Linked DNA regions of Callithrix jacchus. The protein of the gene in region 3 purifies or fractionates together with the protein of the main gene of each other region. This does not show direct contact. Links are inferred from orthologs where the notes say so. Each region holds a gene or a part of one and is shown on either strand. Other genes may lie near its edges.

Region 1 (4,841 bases), on a different chromosome or scaffold from region 3:
GCCTATTTACCTTTTTAATTGTTGGGTTTTAAGAGTTCTTTAGTTTATTCTGGGTATAATTCTCTTATCACATTAATGATTTGCATGTATTACTTCCCATTTTGTGGGTTTTCTTTTCATTCTTGGTAATGTCCTCTGACACAAAAGTTATTTATTTTGATGAAGTTCATTTTAACCTGTTTTTTTTTTTTTGGGTCACTTGCGCTTTTTTACTTTTTACTTTGCTTTTGATTCACCAAGTGCAACTTGTGCTTTTTTAGTGTCACATCCAAGAAACCACTGCCTAATCCAAGGTTGTGAAGATTGATGCCTTATTTTTTTCAAAGCGTTTTCTAGTTTTAGCTCTTAGTTTAGGTCTCCGATCCATTTTGAGTATGGTGTAAAGTAAGGTCCTGATTCGCTTTGCCTATTGCATAGCGTGTTTTTTCCCATACACAGGTCAGTTGTGTCATCATTTAAAAACCATTTGCACAAGCTTTTCACAGCTATTTGAGGGCCATTAAAAATAACAGTGACGAACATCATTGCAGGAGCTCAGCTTGGTCAGCACAGTTAGAATTAAATAGATTTCTGTCAACTTCAGACTGCCACTGTTATTATGGAAAAGTGACTTCATGGCACAGCAGCTAGTTAGCACAAGTCGAGGGGGCAGCACTTAATGTATTCTTGAATAGTACCTGCCCAAGTTGCGTAGTCCAGCAGGTCTAGTTCTAAACCTCATGTTCTGAACCTCAGGAATTTTGACTCAAACTTTGGAATATGATTTGTCATGTGTGGATTCTTGCACCTTAAAATTGTCATTAGTTGGTTTTTCGGGCCTGCTTTGTGATGATAAAACTTCCCATAAGTACTCTGAAGAATGACTTTACTACAGCCTTTGTTCTTTGTGAGGCATCCCCACTCCTGGGGCCAGGATGCTCTCACCCTCCATTGCTCCTTCCTTTCCTTGCAGGGCAGATTTTCTGATGGGGAAGGCTCTTAAAGGGGCTTCTGGTCCATCTCACCAGCTTCTCAGGTCCCTACTTTTACCAAGCATTCCCTGGAAAGACCAGGGTGAGCAGGGTCTGCCAACTATGGACATGAGATGCCCAGTCAACACACGGTAGTGAGCCCTGGGATACTGGCCTGTTGGGAGTAACTCATGCATGATTTGTTTGGCTGAGATAAACTGAGGCCAGCTTTGGCTTCCAGCAGCTGTCACATGGTAGGCACACTTCAGACCTGCTGAGTCACTGGGGATTGGAGGTAGGCAGCCAACCTTGTTTGAAGTTCTGCATGAAACTCAGCCAGCCAGGATAGAGACATTGTTTCAATAGGCCTTTTTAACTGTAGCAGACCTCCATGTATATGTGTTAACCTACTCAGTTAAAACTCCGCCTTGTCTGTTGTCTCTTGCCCTTTTAGAATCACTGTCACTTTCAATATTAACAACAGCATCCCACCAACATTTGATGGTGAGGAGGAACCCTCGAAAGGGCAGAAGGTTGAAGAACAGGAGGTAAGCTTAACACTGTAATCAGCTTTTACCTAAGTTCTGACAGGCTGTCACTGGGGCTGAGAGGAGGAGCATTTTTCTTTGTTCATTAAAAAAAAAAATCCTCTAAGGCTAGGCCCATGGCTCCCACCTATAATCCCAGCCCTTTGGGAGGCCAAGCTGGAAAGATCCCTTGAGGCCAGGAGTTTGAGACCAGCCTGAGGAACATGGCAAGACCCTGCTTCTACGAACATTTAAAAAAAAAAATTAACTGGGCATGGTGGCACATGACTGTGGTTCCAGCTATGCAGGAGACTGAGGCAGGAGGAATCAGTGGTTTCTGACCAGCTTTAGCAGCACTGTGGCTCCCTTTTCTTTCCCAGGGACCGAATATGTTGCTTACAGTCAAGTAGATGAAGTGAGGACAGTGTTCTCTTAATGGAAAGGATATGAAACAGTCTCAACCTTTCCCATGATAGGGAGACTTTTTTTTTTGAGACGGTCTCACTCCATTGCCCAGCCTAGAGTGCAGTGGTGCAATCTCTGCTCACTGCAACTTTCGCCTCTCAGGTTCAAGTGATTCCCCAGCCTCAGCCTCCCGAGTACCTGGGATTACAGGCATGCACCACCACAACCAGCTAATATTTGTATTTTTAGTACAGATGGGGTTTCACCATGTTTGCCAGACTGGCCTTGAACTCCTGACCTCAAGTGATCCGCCCACCTGCGCCTCCCAAAGTGCTGGGATTACAGACGTGAGCCACCAATGCCCAGCCTCTTCCAACATTTTAAGAAGTGCTGTGCCCGGCCTAGTAGCCAGCCAGTATGAGAGCCAGAGTCCCTAGAGCTTCTGCCAAAGCAGCCATCAGTACAGTGTTGTTTCATGACCTGGTATGGTCAGCATAGCTCTCTGGTATGCTTCTTTCCCAGCCACCCCAACTATCATTTCCCTGACATTGGACCTAGTCTGCTCCCAGAGCTCACCATCAGTAAAAGTTGGTGCTGTCATTCAGCCATAAGGATGGCCATTTAACCAGGTTCCCCAGCCTTTGACCCTGGTCCCTTATGAAGACTCTTGGAACAGTCAAGCTGGAAAGAGATCTTGAAACTTTCTGCAGTATATGGGTGGAGAAAAAGGCTTGGAATGTTAAGGGACTGATAGAAACTCAGTTAATTGGCACATGGCTGAGGCTGGTATCCTTTTATTTATTTTTTCTTTTGGAGACAGTCTCGCTGTCGTCAGCCTGGGCTGGAGTGTAATGGCAAGATCATGGCTCACTGCAACCTCCGCCTCCCAGTTTCCACCGATTCTCCTGCCTCAGCCTCCTGAGTAGCTGAGATTACAGGCGCTTACCACCACACCTGGCTAATTTTTGTATTTTTAGTAGAGATAGGGTTTTACCATGTTGGCCAGACTGGTCTTGAACTACCGACCTCAGGTGTACCACCCTCCTCAGCCTCCCAAAGTGTTGGGATTATAGGCCTGAGCTGTGAAGAGATAAAGCTCTCCATTTGGGAACAGTATGGCATAAGACTATTAAAATGGCTACATTGTATCCTAGCAGTGGTGGCCATCAGACACTCTGAACTGTCTGAGATCCCTGATCCAGGCATCCATCTCCTTCCAGCAATGGCATGTACTGACTTCTTGTTTCTTTTCCCAGCCTGAATTGACATCAACTCCCAATTTCGTGGTTGAAGTTATAAAGAATGATGGCAAGAAGGCCCTTGTGCTGGACTGTCATTATCCAGAAGATGAGGTAAGCAGGATGGAGTGCTAGCCCCTTGGTACCCCTGGGGAACACAGCGTGTCTCTTGGGAACTTCCTGTCCCTTTTAGTAGACATTTAAAGATTTTCTAGCTTAGACCAGCAAAGCCAGGGGAGGGAGAGGTATGAAGTGAGGGAAGAGTATTAAAACCTAATGAGTGATATGCTGTCAGTGACCCCCTTTCTTTGTATGAGTCTGGCTTGTCCTGGAAAACTCTTCAGTTTCCCCAGATACTGTTTCTTCTCAGGTTGGACAAGAGGATGAGGCTGAGAGTGACATCTTCTCTATCAGGGAAGTTAGCTTTCAGTCCACTGGCAACTCTGAATGGAAGGATACTAATTACACACTCAACACAGATTCCCTGGACTGGGTGAGTGCTTGATAAGATGGGGGAATCTTTCGGACCTTGCAAGGGAGGGTCCTAGTTCAAGGAGAGAAAGAAGAATTTTAATGGAAATTAGAGATTTTTTTTTTAACTAGTAAATGTTGTTCTTTGCAGGCCTTGTATGACCACCTAATGGATTTCCTTGCGGACCGAGGGGTGGACAACACTTTTGCAGATGAGTTGGTGGAGCTCAGCACAGCCCTGGAGCACCAGGAGTACATTACTTTTCTTGAAGACCTCAAAAGTTTTGTCAAGAGCAAGTAGAGCAGACAGACACTGAAAGCCATAGTTTTATGGCAGGCTTTGGCCATTAAACAAATCCAAGTCAGAAGCTAGACACGTGCTTTGAAATTATTATCCTAATATCATGGGAAAAAAACATCAAATTTAAATTATATGTTTTACGCTCTCATTTATTACCATTTTTTTCTGTACAAATCTATTATTTGTAGATTTTTGTATAACATAATAGACAATAAAATTGGTTTATCTCCTCCAAGGCAGTTTGTCTTTTCTATTCCTCCCCCTTAAACCTGCGTCACAAAAAAACAAAAACAGATACTGGGAAAGGTTTTCTTTTTTTTTTCATTCAGTATCGTTGAAAAATTTCAATATAAAATAAGTTAGAAATAAAAGACTTATATGTACAAGGCTCCTCAGAGGGAATGAGTTGTCTTCAACTGGATAGAATGATGTGACTCCAAGCTGGCTCTAGAGGATTACAGCCCAAGTATCACAAGCCTAGGTTTAAACAGGAAAATAATTAGCTTAAATTGTATTCTAGTCATGACAGTTATCACTAGTGTAATTTGTCAAGGAGGTCACTGATGACTGCCCCTCTTGCTTTGCTGGGCCTCTGCCCTGCAGCCTTCAAACAACTGTCTTGGAAACCTTCAGCATCAATATAGTCTTCAAGCTAAGATTAAATCCTGTAGATGAACTAATCAAACACCCTTACCCTCAGGAAGCCAGTGACCAGAAAGACTGTATTCAAACTCTTGATAGCCTGGGGCCTTTAAAGCCCAGCAGGAAGATGAGACTCCAAATCTACACAAGATTGATGCAGGTATGTATCATAGGGGAGGTACAAACCATGCATGATCAGTATAGGCAGAAAACTGTCTTCCCCTTGATTTGTAAGCACCTGAGTGTAAAACTGGCTCCCAGTTCCCTGATGGCTCAGCCTACCAATATGCTGAGGAATCCAGTTTGT
Region 2 (4,296 bases), on a different chromosome or scaffold from region 3:
TGATTGTGTAGCTGCAAATATCCAAATACTCATAAATAGCACTTAATAAAAATAGTTTTCTGAAATGTAGCCAATATTATTAAAAACAACTCTATTTCAAAGTTCATTTATACAATATGTTAACTTGCAAATGCCTTGTGACTATCCAAACTACATGACAAAGTATGGGTAAGGAAAACATTCACATTTATTTGGGTACTTTTAAAGACTCAAAATATCCAGGTTTAAATATATTTTACATAAGTAAATATCAGTTACTTTCAATACCAGTACTCTGCAGCAGCCAAGACCGAAATTCTTCAAGATATCTTAATTTGAGTATTACATCATTTAAATTTTGTAACATACTTCTTCAGTTAAGCCTTAAGTGCTAAAATATTAAAAGAAAAGGAACCACTTGAATTTCTGTTAATTACATAATTATCCATCTTATCTCTTTAAGTGATAACATCCTTAAATATGCAATGACAAATCTTTTCTATATTCAATTTACCAAGTGGTGAAAGGTCTTGTTGCCAAGCAGAAAAATCAATGAACATTTTCTGGTTATCAGTGATCTCTCCCCCACCATAACACACATCCACATAGCTTTCCTTGAATCTAAGAATTACAATGTAGTTTCTTTCTGTATCTAAGATGGAAATAATAGAAAAAGAATGGCAGGGCTACAGAACTTGCACACTGTTGTGTACTACTGAGTCCCTTACATTTGGAGAAATATGGAACAGGAGGTTTCTAGTACATAGACCGACACTCATAACCAGTGATTAAATCAAATTCAAAGAGCATGGACTTTGTGAAATGGAGTTTCTAGTGAACTAGTATTAAGATGACTTCTCTAGTGTTAACACCTAACAAATGCACTGGTTAAAATGTACGTATTTTAATAAAAGCCTCTAACGGATTGCTTACTTTTCCTGGACTGCATTTCAAATTGACTCAGGAACTGTTTATTGCATGGAGTTACAACAGGATTCTGACCATGAAGTTCTCTTTTAGGCAACAGATCCATTAACTTTTTTGAAGATGCTTCAGATCCAACACCAACAAGGGCAAACCTAAAAGGTGTTTAAGGGGTGAGGATACAAAGAGATCAATATTATTACTATTACTCTTCTATAAAAATGTCTTAATCTAATCTGCTTTTATGTAAAACAAACAAAAAACAGCTGGGCACAGTGGCTTATGCCTTAATCCCAGCTGCTTAGAAGGCTGAGGCAGGATTGCTTAAACCCAGGAGTTTGAGGCTACAATAAACTATAATCACACTACTGCACTCCAGCCTGGGCAACAGGGCAAGATCCTGTCTCTAAAAGTAAATAACTTTAAAAACTGAAAATATTTCTTGAAACTATACAAGTACACATTTTTTATTCATCTTCTATAGCATACCATAAAATTCAGTCATTTAAAATGTATAATTCAGTGTTTTTTTAGTATTTCACAGTGTTAAAACCACCACCACCATCAATTTTAAAACGTTTGCAACACCCCAAAAAGAAACTCCATATCCGTTAGCCATCACTCCCATTTCTTCCCATCCTTGTACTCTATAGAACCAGTAGATCTAATTTCTGTCTTTGTACTGGCCTATCCTGGACATTTCATCTAAATGGAATCATACAATAGGAGGTCCCTTAGGATCAGCTTCTTTAACTGGTGTATTTTCAAGGTTCATCCCTTGTTACAGCATGCATCACCACTTCATTTATTTTTAAAGCTGAATAATTTTCCATTATAAATATACCACATTAAAAGAAACTTATTCATCAGTTCATGGACATTTGAGTTGCTTCTACTGTTTGCCACAATAAAAAGATGTACAACACCATTGGGGAAGTGCAAATCAAGACCACAGGATACCACCCCATACCCAAGTATTAAATATGTAAAGAAACTGCAATCTTTGCACACTGGTGATCAGTACATATTAATAATGGTGCAATGACTCTGGCAACAATCTGAAAATTCCTCAAAAGTTTAAACATCGAGTTACCATATAACCCAGTAATTCCACTCCTAAGTATACATTCAACAGAATTGAAAATACATGTTCACACAAAATGGGTATACAAATATTCACAGGGGCATTTTCCTTAATAACCAAAAGTGGAAATAACCGAGATGTCCATCAACTGATAGATTAAAAAAGTGCTATATCCATGTAGTGGAATATTATTCAGCCATTAAATGAGATGTTGATGCATGCTTCAACATGGATGAACCTTAAAAACATTATGCTAAGGAAGAAAGCCAGTCACATAGGACTACATATTATTACATTTAAATGAAATGTCCAGAATAGGCCTATCCAGAGCACGTTAGTGGTTGCCAGCAGATAGAAAAAAAGGAAATGGGAGTGACTGCTAATCAGGTACAAGGTTTCTTCTTGGGGTGATGAAATGTTCTGTAGAGACAGTGGTAATGATTGCCAAACTTCATAAATACAAGTATCACTGAATTGTACACTTTAAAAGTGTGTATTTTAAGGCATATGAATCATATCTCAACAAGAAAAACAAATTTAAAATAATCAGAATGATTACCAATTTGTATAGCTATAGGATATTCTAAATTCTTTGAGGGATGGAGGGTCTTAGCAGCTTAAAAAGCTCAAGATCTTTTCCCCCCTAATGCTCAATATAATCTTTTTAACCTATACTTCTTATTCTAGTCAACAAATTCTGTTGATTGTGCCAGGATTCTCTTAGGTCACAACATTTAGAAGCAACTAAATTAATTTAACAAATATTTATTAAGCACCACTTCCTATACGCAAGGTACCATTCTAGAGCTGGGGATGTAATAGTGAACAAAACAAAATCTGCTCTCGTGAAGCTTAAAGTCTAGCAAGAAGAGACAGCAAACAAGTAAAATCTATCAGAGCAGAAATAAAGGAAACAAAATAGGAAGCTGCTACTTTGCACAAGGTAGTCTTGGAAGAAAAACTCTCAAACAGTGTGAGTCCTAAATTAAGCAAAAGAGTAAGCCATGTGGATATCTGAGGGGGAAAAGTAAACCAGGAAGAGAAAACAGCTAAACGTCCTAGGTAAGAATTGGTCTGACAAACAGCAAAGGGACTAATGTGGATGAAAAAGAGTGATAGGAAATAGGGTCAGAAAGGTAGTGGGAAACAGATCACAAAGTACCTTGTAGACAGTGGTAAAGACTGAGACAGGAAGCCATGAAAATATTCTGAGCAGAAAGGAATTGATGTCATTTTTTAAAAGAACTTCTACTATGTGAAGCACAGACTGTAGAGGGCAGTCTATACTTCCAGTTAGGAAGCTACTGCTAAAGTTCAAGTGAGAGAGGATAGTGGCTTTGATCAAGTGGTGTAAGTGAAGTTGGTGAGAAGCGTTCAGACTCTGCAAATATTTTAAAAATATTCTCATTTAGTATAAACTGGTATAACCTTCTAAGATAACTAAGCAATATACGAAATAAGCATATTCTTTATCTTTGTGCATCTAACAATTTATCCTTAAAAGAAAACCCAAAATCTGTACCTGAAGACGTAGATAAATGATGCCTGCTGCAACATTATTTATAACAGGCAAAAGTGGAAACAAGCAAAATAACAAAAAATAAGAAAGGTAAATTACAGGCATTCGTTTACCTTTCTAATTTAAATTACCTTTCTAAATTATCTCTCTATGACATTAGAGAGGATGTGTATTTATTTTTGTTCCTTATATCAAACACAAACACATGAATTATAATTCCTTTCGTTTTTAAGGAAAAGCCCAAAAGAATCTTCACTATGTTAAAAGTAATTATCAATGGATGGTAGGATAGTGACATTTTATTTCCTTACTTCTGGATATTCTCATTCTCATCCTTCTCACTTGTACAGTTCAATAGTTAAATAAAGCAAAACAGCCATGTAATACACATCATTCTTCAGTTGCTCATCTTCTCCCATCTCTTAATCACAGAGAGAATAATGGTTCTTAAACTGTCATTTCAACAACCATCTCAACCACAGATGGAGAAAACTTGGGAAAATTAGAAAACAGATCTGTCCACATCTCCACTCCACTAGTTTTAGTGTGCTAGGTAACAGGGTATATAAAATGAATAGTATCCATCTTTGTCCAAGAACCTCCACAAGTGTAATTAATTAACACTAACTTAAAGGAAAGTTAACTTGTAAAAACTGTATCACTAGCTACTAAGTCAAAAAGAAAGAAAGAATTCTTACCCCTTTGACTGGCCATTTGCCCGATTTTCAAAAAATTTTATCTCCAAAATATCATTTACTCCCAAAGAATGAACTGCTTCAGTTAAGTCTTC
Region 3 (5,060 bases):
AACTACAATATATTAACGTTGAGACTAGCAGTACTGTGTTAACTGAAAAAAAGTAAAACAAAAAATTTTTTTTCAGACTGGGTCTCGCTCTGCTGCCCAGGCTGGAGTACAATGGTGCAACCTTGCAACCTGGGCTGAAACATCCTTCCGCCTCAGCCTCCCAAACAGCTGAGACTACAGTCATGTGCCACCATTTTTGTATTTTTTGTAAAGACGCAGCCACGTTGTCCAGGCTGATCTTGAACTCCTGGACTCAAGCTATCTGCCTCATTACAGGCATGAGGCACCACACACGGCCAATTAAGTTCATTAATCTCCACTTTCCTGGGTATGGCTTTGCCTATCTTCAGATCTGCTACTCAGAATTCAACACGTTTTACATATATAGCTAGACTTTCCAAAAAGTATAGTCTAAGGTAAATAAATAATAAATGGCTAATCAGATTTGACAGTGGCTTTCTTAAGGTTTTGTTAGGACAAACCTAGAATACTTACTTCGGGCTTTGCACCATTACTTGATAAACTTGTTCCACGGCTTGTTTCTTTGGCTACAGGAACAGTTCTGAGACTAGCTGGCAATTCAATGTTCGTTGTTCCTAAAGCTTTCGCTGCATTGGCTTTTGCTATTTCTAACAGCTCCATTCGATCTAAAAAGAAAAATCAATTTAAACACTCATTAACCTGGTAGTTATTTCCCCCCAAGAGAACTCAGAATTACAAAGTAAGGTTGCTCTGGTTTGAGCTGTGCTGGTCCACTTATACTTGGATGCTTTCCTCCTCCTAAATGCAGGCGAAGTACTACAGTATTTGAGAAACTGGAAACCTCAAGTGTGCGGAAGTTCCATATTGGTCCTGCAACCAATCCCCCGAAGAAACGGAGGGGTAACTGTGTAACTTTCACTGAAAATTCTATTCTCTACCTCTGCTGAAAAGAATAAAATTCTTAAATTATCTCAATTTCAGTTTTCCTGACCAAAGGCCTGAATGTCCTGTTATTTTGTCTGTATTTCCGTTGTACGTAATTTTCTCTAGTTAATAGTCAACGTCATTATTATTTTTCTTTCTCTTCAAACGTCTATTTCTGAAAACCGGGGTTTTCTGCAACAATATTCTTTATATGGTACAATTATCACAACTACTGAACCAATACTGATACACTTCCAAAGTGTATTTCCACCACCACTCCGGCTAATAGTTTGTATTTTTAATACAGATAGGGTCTCCACTATGTCGGCCGGGCTGGTCTGGAACGCCTGGTCTCAAGTGACCTCCCACCTCCGCCTCCCCAAATGCTGGGATTACAGACACTAGCCACCCCGACCTGGTAAGTCATTTAAGATACTGGACAATTCAATTTTGTTCAATAATAACATCTGTCTTTTTTTTTTTTTTTTTTAAACTGAGACGGAGTCTTGCTATGTTGCCAGGCGGGAATGCAGTGGCGCAGTCTTGGCTCATTGCAACTTCCGCCTCCCAGGTTCAAGCAATTCTGCCTCAGCCTCCCCTGTACTTGGGACCACAGGCGTGCGCCACCATACCCAGCTAATTTTTGTATTTTTTTAGTAGAGACGGGGTTTCACCATGTTGACCAGGATGGTCTCGATCTCTTGACCTCGTGATGCACCCGCCTCGGCCTCCCAAAGTGCTGGAATTACAGGCGTGAGCCACCGCGCCCGGCCAAAGGCGTGTTTTCATATTGTTCTTCCCAATCAATAATTATCTTAGAAACTTTAACTTAATCATAACATTTAGAAGGCTCCACCCACTAAGAACAGTCAGCCACTAGGAAAATAGGTTCCCTCCATCCTGAACCATTTAACATCCAGTTGAATTTTAAAGGTAAAGAATGCTGTCCATTTACATACAGATAATGTCCTCCCCTTTTCCTACGATGAAAAAGATTTCGGGAACTAATACTGAAACTACAAGGCAATTTTGGTTCCTTAGCCTCCTTTTATACCGTCCCTAGCCATAGATTATCAAAAATGGAAAGATAAGTGACGCACCTTTTTCACTTAAGCGAAGGGGGGTTCTGCTCCGCGACCTCGTCCTGGATCTGTCCCTCCATCTGCCGTAATCCTCCGGGTACACTGTGCGACCGAAGCCGTAATAGCGCCGCCCCCGCGCGATTGCGTACGCCCTTCCGTAGTACGACCTTCCCCGAGAGCGCGACCTGCTACGGGAACGGGACCGGGAACGGTACCGCGAAGGAGACCGGTAGTATCTCCTAGACAGCCCGTAGCGCCTCTCTTGGTACCGGTGGCTGCGGGATCGCGACCGGCTCCGCGAAAATGACCGCGAGTAGCGCCTGTACTTCCGCTGGTGGCGCCTTCTGGAACAGGACCTTGACCGGCTCCTCCGGCTCCGGCTCCGACTCCTGGACGAAAATCGACTGGAGACGCGGGAATGGGACCGAGAGCTTCTGGAAAAAGAGCGGCTCCTAGAGCGCGACGACAGCCGGCTGGACCCACCCGACCGCGAGGCTGAGGGCGAATCTTTCTGCGGCGAGCCGGGCCACATGTCGTTCACGTAGTTGGACATCTTCACCTGCGGCTTTACCCTGCGCTTTCTCGGGAAAAGATCCCGCAAGCCTCAACTCAAGACTTCCTAAAAAAGCAAGAGGAAAAAAACAAATCGAGTCCCGGAAGTAGACGCTCGGCTGCCCGGAAGCCACAGCAAGACGCCCTCCCGGAGGCGGAGCCAACGCGCAGGCAGCGGAGCCGCGAAGGGAGCCCTAAAAACTCCGTTCAGGCCAGGCGCGGTGGCTCACGCCTGTAACCCTAGCACTTTGGGAGGCCGAGGTGGGTGGATCACCTGAGGTCAGGAGTTCAAGACCAGCCTGGCCATCACGGTGAAACCCCATCTTAAAAAAAAAAAAAAAAACTTCGTTCAGCGCACTGACGCCGCAGCCCAAAATCGAAATGCTGCCTTCCCCAAATAGAGGGCCCGGCACGTCTCCTGACCCTCACTCCTGAGCGACCACTGAAAGGTCGACCCTGTCAGCAGAAAACTTACCACAGGCTGTCGACGCCTCCCTCACGACTGAAAGAAAGGCCCAACACACGCCTTCCTTTAGGAATGTAGGACGGAAAGCGGCTTTTCGTGAATTCTCTCGAAGAACGAATTCCACAACCTCCACCTCCGACGTCCGGTACGCGCACTGAGACGGTAAGTCAACAGACTTCTCGAAAGTACCAGAAGCTGGTCCCGGCTCATGCGCAGAGACGGTGCTCCGAGGGCGTGGCTCTCCTCTCGCCCAATCACCGCCCTGCCTCTTCCCTCCCCCCCCCAAGCCCCGCCCTATCCCCCGCGTCAACGCCCACAGGGTGCGCATGTGCGGTGGGGCTCCAGAGAGCGGTGCTTGGTACATCCGGGTGTCCCGTCGCCCTTGGCTTTTTTTTTTTTTTTTCTCTTTTTCTTTTTTTTCATATTTGAGATAATTGCATGATTCACCGGCTCACCAGAAAATTTTAAAGATGGAATATCCCCGCGGGGCGCTACACCAGGCTCTGGCCTCACTGCCCCGGCGGTGCTGAATGTTAGTCCCCGGCAGGGGGTGGTGGGGCTGGGAGAGGAATGGCTGCAGGCTGGAGAGGGCTTGGAGCCCTGGCGGTCTGAGTGGCTTGTGCCCACTGGGTCGTAGCCGCCACCTACCGGCAAGCCGCAGATTCGGGCTGAGCGTCCCCGTACCCTTCTTGGCTTCTTCCTGTCCTGGTCCCGCCGCGCCGGGAGAAGGCGCCCACATCCCTGCATCCACACCCCTCCAGGAAGAAGACCGCGCCCTCCCGGGACACCCCAAGATCCCTGAGAATGCAGTATTAACGTGGAAAAGGTGTTTTACTTACGTTTCGACTAGCTCGAGACAAAACAAAGACAATTGATCTTTAATCTAGGAGAAAGAATGAAGTCTGAGATTATCTCTTCCAAAAACTGTTTGGTGTAAGAGTGTAAACAGGGCCGGGAGCGGTGGCTCACGCCTGTAATCCCAGCACTTTGGGAGGCCGAGGCGGGTGGATCACGACGTCAAGAGGTCGAGACCATCCTGGTCAACATGGTGAAACCCCGTCTCTACTAAAAATACAAAAAATTAGCTGGGCACGGTGGTGCGTGCCTGTAATCCCAGCTACTCAGGAGGCTGAGGCAGGAGAATTGCCTGAACCCAGGAGACAGAGGTTGCGGTGAGCCGAGATCGCGCCATTGCACTCCAGCCTGGGTAACAAGAGCGAAACTCCGTCTCAAAAAAAAAAAAAAAGAGTGAAATATTAGCTGTAATTGCCTGGAGGAAAAGTGTAAGCTGGCAACTTAAACAAAAGCAGGGCATGTAACAGTAAATGTGTAGTGAATTTGAGCACGGTTAGACAGAAGATAATAGAAACAGACTTTTTGAGGTGCGGTTTAAGTAGTAGGGGCGACTGCATAAAAGTGGAGAGGACGAGGGGCTGAAAATAAGTGTGTAAAGAGAAAACTTTGGAGGCTGTGAGAGCTGGAGGGTAAATGGGGCATAGCCTGTGATTTTGAGGGATTTTAAGAGTGTTAGGGCGGCAGCTGCTGCTGTGCGTTAGTCATGAGGGCCAGCCCAGGACTGTTAGGTAAGTTGTCTGGATAAAAAGCCTACAGGCCGTGGGCCTGGCTCCTGTGTAAGAATCCCAACCGCAAAGCCCTGGATTTTTGCAGTATATAATGAAAAGTGTGGCAGATAATTTTGCTAAGATATCTTGGCCTAACAGGTGAACTGGACAAGTGGGGATGATTAGATAAGAATGTGGAAAGGAGTGCTGGCCTAATTGACATCAGATGTCGGGAGTTTTGAGAGGCCTGGAGGCCTTGCTGTCAATTCCCACAACAGTTGGGGCCAAGGAGACAGGTCCTTGAAAAGAAGGGGGTGGGGTGGGGTGGGATCAGCCAAGGCAGGCAGGACTTTAGACTTTCTGGGTCTGGGCTTGCACATGGTTATGAATAGGAAAGGATGGAAGGAGTCTCTGTAGACAGTTCACAGTATCAGTCAAATGTGTGCTTAAAAAATGGTGACCAGAAAAACCCTGGTGTTTTTTTTTTTTGTT
Region 4 (4,934 bases), on a different chromosome or scaffold from region 3:
GTTTACTTTCTGGTGTTCTTCCAATATTATGCCCCATGGAACCAGCCACCTTGAGTCTTGTTTGCCTTTGATTTCCCAGAGCTGTGCTGTTCGGTACAGAAGCCACCAACCACATGTGGCTACTGACAGCAAATGTGGTGTTACCTTATTTCGATGTGCAGTTACGTATAAAATATGCACTGGATTTTGAAGACTTGGTATGAGAAAAGAATGCATAAGATCTGGATTTTTTTAATGTTGAATACTTGTTGAAATACTTGGATAAATTGGGTTAAATACATAACTAAAATGTTCAATTGTTTCTTTTACTTTTTAATCGTGGCTGCTAGAAGATTCTAGTCTACGTGTGACTCACATATTTCTAGGTTCTGAGACAGTGCCCTGGCCCATTTTATTGAACGAAATATCCAATCTCGAGAGGTCGAATGAATGGGTGAATGAAGATGTATAGTCTCAAGCTTCCATTAGAAAAATAGATACAGCATTGCCGTAGAAGTTTGGAGATACGGGTTCTGGCTCAGAATGTACTGGAAACGCCTTGGACAAGCCCTACCCTACTCTGGCCGTCAATTTGCCCATTAGATAGTATCTTTGAGGTCTGGAAGCTTGCTAGAATCAGTGGAAGAGAAATGCATCAGGAAAGCTTGATAAAACGGCACTTGTCGTTTCCGCTCTAGCCTAAACACTTGAGGCTCGGCAGAGGCAGCGGGAATCAGGGACTACACCCCGAGAACCCAGTACCCGGGTCCCCGACTTCTCCGAGCCTACGTCACTGGGGCGCGACGGCGTTGTCCTCGGGATTGCAGCGGCTGAGAAATTCCATTCGGTGAAGGCGAGTTCCGGGCCAACAGAGGGTCACACCATTTCCGAGTCTCTCGGAGGCTCAGTTCTCAGTGCACCATCACCCACCGCTCTCCCTTTTACTTCACCCCTATCCGACTCTTGGCCCGGACCCTGTGAACCCCGCCCGGAGCGTCCAAAGCCGAGTCTCATCGCGGCTGCGCAGGGCACGTGCACAACCTCGCAGAAGTCTCGGCGATTGGCTGTGACGCAATTTCCGGCGTGAGCGGCGAAAGCCGGGAGGGCGAGCGAGAGTGCGACCAGGCAGCAGGCTGCCGGCGGGCGGGCGGGCGGCACGGAGGGAGGGAACGAGCGAGCAGTGAGTGAGCCAGCGAGGGCGGCCGGGTCCCGAGGTCAGCCGAGATTCCGCAGGTACCTCTGGCCCCCTCCCCGGAGTCCACAGCGCCTCCGGTGTCCCGCGGATCGGACACGGCCCGGCCCGGCCATGGCCTCGTTGCTGAAGGTGGATCAGGAAGTGAAGCTCAAGGTAGCGGCGCCAGTCCGGCCTTTTTGCCCCTCACTTTGATCCCCCAGTAGTCTGACCGGCTTCCTACTCCCCATGGCGTCTTTGTCTCCCTGGGGATACCAGCTCTGAGCTTCCGCTCGGCTCAGCCCAGCCCCCAGCTCCTGGGGTCGGCTTCGCGGGAGAAGAAAATATAGGATGGCTTTCTGTACCGTGTCTGATGATGAAGAGTCCCGGGGTCACCTCCGCGGACACGTGTTGGACTCAGGGCTTTAGGCCGGTGACAGCTGGAAATCCCCCAGCCCAGCAACGTCCCTGGGCACTGCCCCTGCCCTTGGTGGTCTGCCTTGTATCATAGGCCAAGTCTGGGTGGGGATTGGCACGTTTGTGAGCTCACATCTCCCCTAACTACCTGTCTTTTGTCTGCTTATGAAATTCAGACAGCTTCAGACACAGGGAGGGTGGGAGGGAGAGGAGAGGAGACAGGCAGGTGCTGCCCTCAAGCCCTGCGTCCTTCTCCTGAGATGGAAAAATGGGTCCTCAAAAAAATAAAGTATTTGCAGTCTGGGGGCCTCTCAGCTTCATATTACAGTTACAAGGTGAGGGAAAGACAGTTGGATTTGGGATTCTCTATCCTGCTCTTACCTCTGTCCCCAGGTACTCAATTGCTCTCTTTGTTAATTTTAGGTTGATTCTTTCAGGGAGCGGATCACAAGTGAGGTGAGTGAAATAAATAGAAAAATGGGTGTTGGTTAATTGAGAGTTTCCCAAAGAGGAGATATCTATATAGAGAGACCTTCCCACAGATACTAATTCAGCTGTATTTTCCCTCCTCTTTAGGCAGAAGACTTGGTGGCAAATTTTTTCCCAAAGAAGTTATTAGAACTTGATAGTTTTCTGAAGGTGAGAGACCCTTTTCTTTCCTCAGATTCCCCAATTTTTTTGGCCCTGGTATTACTGTCAAGCGGGACAAATTGTGTGTTGAATCTTCTTCTTTTTATTTTTTTAAACTGTAAAAGCACTTTGATTTCTTGCCCTTCAAATCAAATACTTCTTTGTTCAACTTGAAAAGATTAATGTTTTGGGGTGGGTGTCTTTCAGGAACCAATCTTAAACATCCATGACCTAACTCAGATCCACTCTGACATGAATCTCCCAGTCCCTGACCCCATTCTTCTCACCAATAGCCATGATGGACTGGATGGTGTAAGTGTCCTATGTTTATCTTTGTGTTCTTGAGCAGTCGGTCCTCTGTCCTGTTTCCTTGTCAGTTCAACATGTACAGAGGCAACAGTGGGATTTGGACCTGGGAACTAGGACTCTGTTATAGACATGCTGACTCTAGTGTACTCCTTTTATTTCTTATTTATTTATTTATTTTTGAGAAAGAGTGTCACTTTTTTTTTGCCTGGGCTGGACTGTGGCAGCTCAAGCACTGCTCACTGCAGCCTTGACCTCCCGGACTCAAGCAATTTTCTTTCCTCAGCCCCCCAAGTAGCTGGGACTACAGGAGTACGCCACCATGCCCAGCTGATTTTTGTATTTTTTGTAGAGACGGGGTTTCACCATGATGTCCAGGCTGGTCTCAACTCCTAAGCTCAAGCAATCAGCCTACCTTGGCCTCCCAGAGTTGGGATTACAGGCGTGAACCACTGCACGGGGCCTCTCGTATATTCCTTTTAGACCCTGAGTTTCATTTATGACATGAAGTCAATATGCTAATGCTATTTTCAGTGTTAGAGTGAGTTTCAAATAAAAGAAAACTAGCTTTATCAGGTTACCTGGATTTTCCCATGGCTCTGAAGAAGACTTTACTTACCTTTTTTCTATGTCCTGAGTAGTATTACGGGATACAGAGTTGTTCTTGCTATATAACTGCAATCACCGTCTTTGCTCTACATTTTTAACACCTAGTCCTTACCAGTCACATGTTCACGTGCTGTTAGAACACTGATGATACTGTATTCTTGTCTGTAGTACTGCCTCACTGATGGAACTTGTATATCTGGAAGGCAGGATCTATCTTCTTTTTTTTTTTTTGAGACAGAGTCTCACTCTGTTGCCTAGGCTAGAGTACAGTGGTACGATCTTGACCTACCTACTGAAACCTCTGCCTCCGAGGTTCAAGTGATTCTCCCGCCTCAGCCTCCTGCGTAGGTGGGGTTACAGGTATACACCAACATGCCTGGTTAATTTTTTTATTTTTAGTGGTGACAGGGTTTCACCATGTTGGCCAGACTGGTATCGAACTCCTGACCTCAAGTGATCCGCCCACCTTGGCCTCCCAAAGTGCTGGGATTACAGGCATGAGCCACCGTGGTCCAGCTGGAAGGAACTATCTTATTCTCTGTATTCCCAGTGCCTAGTGTTGATCCTCATCTATGGCAGTTGCTAAATACATGTTTGTTGACTGAATAATGTGTTCCTTTGTGGAACCAGCAGATTTGTACATATTCCCTTAATTATCCTCCCTGCTTTGATTGGTTCTTTTTTCCTATTCTTTATAATACTTAATGTATTGTATTTCTGGAAAGATTGGTCTTCCCAACTAGAGCATAATTTGCTTTGTGGCAAGAACCTTTTCTTTCTTTTTTTGAGGGGGGACAGAGTCTCACTCTGTTACCTAGGCTGGAGTGCAGTGGCACAATCTCGGCTCACTGCAGCCTCAAACTCTTGGGCTCAAGCCATCCTCCTACCTCAGCCTCTCAGGTAACTGGGCCTGCAGGTGCATGTTCCATCATGTCCAGCTAGTATTTTTTGTGGAGATGGGGTTTCCCTACATTGCCTGGGCTTGTTTCAAGTAATCCACATGCCTCGGCCTCCCAAAGTGCTGGGATTACAGGCATGAGCCACGGCGCCCAGCCCAAGAATCTTTTCTTTTTCTTTTTTTTCTTTTTTGAGAAGAGTTTTGCTCTTGTCACCCAGGCTAGAAGACAGTGGTGTGATCTCAGCTCACTGCAACCTCTGCCTCCCAGGTTCAAGCGATTTTCCGGCCTCGGCCTCCCAAGTAGCTGGGATTACAGGCGCCTGCCACCACACCTGGCTAATTTTTCATATTTTTAGTAGAGATAGGATTTCACCATATTGACTAGGCTGGTCTTGAACTCCTTACCTCAGGTCATCCACCCACCTGGGCCTCCCAAGGAGCTGGGATTTCACATGTGAGCCACTGTGCCCAGCCTCCGAGAACCTTTTCTTAAAGCTTTATATGTACTTAGGAAATTGTACAGAAATTAATAACACAAGCTGTGAGGCTGAGGAAGGGATTAAACTTGTTTGAAGGGTATCTTGTGATGGAAATGTGGGTGTCAAAAGCAGGCTCATCCCTGCCTCTTTGTATCCATAGCCCACTTATAAGAAGCGAAGGTTGGATGAGTGTGAAGAAGCCTTCCAAGGTAAGAGCCACCCTTACCTCCTCTCCCCTCACCTCACCCCTGACTTGCAGCCCTGAGAAGCAGGATGGATATAGTGTTCTGACCAGGAAGCAAGATCTAATCTTATTTCCCAGAAGCAGCATTCCCAGCTCCTCCAAACGTGCTCGTTATTTAGTGTTCCTGGTTTTCCAATAAACAGAGTTTAAGCCTTCTGTCCTATTTTAGATGTGCATCTGTTGTTCTTTTGTTCCATCCAT

Evidence for each region.
Region 1: the proteins of RSRP1 (region 3) and C1QBP purify together in Homo sapiens (affinity purification with mass spectrometry; 3 studies listed by BioGRID and IntAct, counting the BioPlex papers as one, with this or other methods). This does not show direct contact. The link is inferred for Callithrix jacchus from reciprocal best matches to the Homo sapiens genes RSRP1 and C1QBP.
Region 2: the proteins of RSRP1 (region 3) and CPSF6 purify together in Homo sapiens (affinity purification with mass spectrometry; 3 studies listed by BioGRID and IntAct, with this or other methods). This does not show direct contact. The link is inferred for Callithrix jacchus from reciprocal best matches to the Homo sapiens genes RSRP1 and CPSF6.
Region 4: the proteins of RSRP1 (region 3) and PSME3 purify together in Homo sapiens (affinity purification with mass spectrometry; 3 studies listed by BioGRID and IntAct, counting the BioPlex papers as one, with this or other methods). This does not show direct contact. The link is inferred for Callithrix jacchus from reciprocal best matches to the Homo sapiens genes RSRP1 and PSME3.

Annotation. Positions count from the first base shown.
Region 1 is NC_133506.1:106,963,708-106,968,548, reverse strand, and holds the end of C1QBP (complement component 1 Q subcomponent-binding protein, mitochondrial), read left to right. Parts: intron 1-1,404; coding exon 1,405-1,498; intron 1,499-3,138; coding exon 3,139-3,234; intron 3,235-3,490; coding exon 3,491-3,613; intron 3,614-3,742; coding exon 3,743-3,892; 3' UTR 3,893-4,127; downstream 4,128-4,841. Other genes in the region: RPAIN (RPA-interacting protein), read right to left, coding at 4,340-4,369.
Region 2 is NC_133510.1:71,750,656-71,754,951, reverse strand, and holds part of CPSF6 (cleavage and polyadenylation specificity factor subunit 6), read right to left. Parts: coding exon 4,205-4,296; intron 1,059-4,204; coding exon 913-1,058; intron 12-912; coding exon 1-11. UniProt on the Homo sapiens protein: Component of the cleavage factor Im (CFIm) complex that functions as an activator of the pre-mRNA 3'-end cleavage and polyadenylation processing required for the maturation of pre-mRNA into functional mRNAs.
Region 3 is NC_133508.1:61,969,415-61,974,474, forward strand, and holds the start of RSRP1 (arginine/serine-rich protein 1), read right to left. Parts: upstream 3,163-5,060; 5' UTR 3,016-3,162; exon of another isoform or gene 2,703-3,015; intron 2,608-2,702; 5' UTR 2,542-2,607; coding exon 2,007-2,541; intron 963-2,006; exon of another isoform or gene 791-962; intron 648-790; coding exon 496-647; intron 1-495.
Region 4 is NC_133506.1:121,061,013-121,065,946, reverse strand, and holds the start of PSME3 (proteasome activator complex subunit 3), read left to right. Parts: upstream 1-1,741; 5' UTR 1,742-1,827; coding exon 1,828-1,902; intron 1,903-1,990; coding exon 1,991-2,023; intron 2,024-2,143; coding exon 2,144-2,206; intron 2,207-2,404; coding exon 2,405-2,509; intron 2,510-4,649; coding exon 4,650-4,698; intron 4,699-4,934. UniProt on the Homo sapiens protein: Subunit of the 11S REG-gamma (also called PA28-gamma) proteasome regulator, a doughnut-shaped homoheptamer which associates with the proteasome. 11S REG-gamma activates the trypsin-like catalytic subunit of the proteasome but inhibits the chymotrypsin-like and postglutamyl-preferring (PGPH) subunits.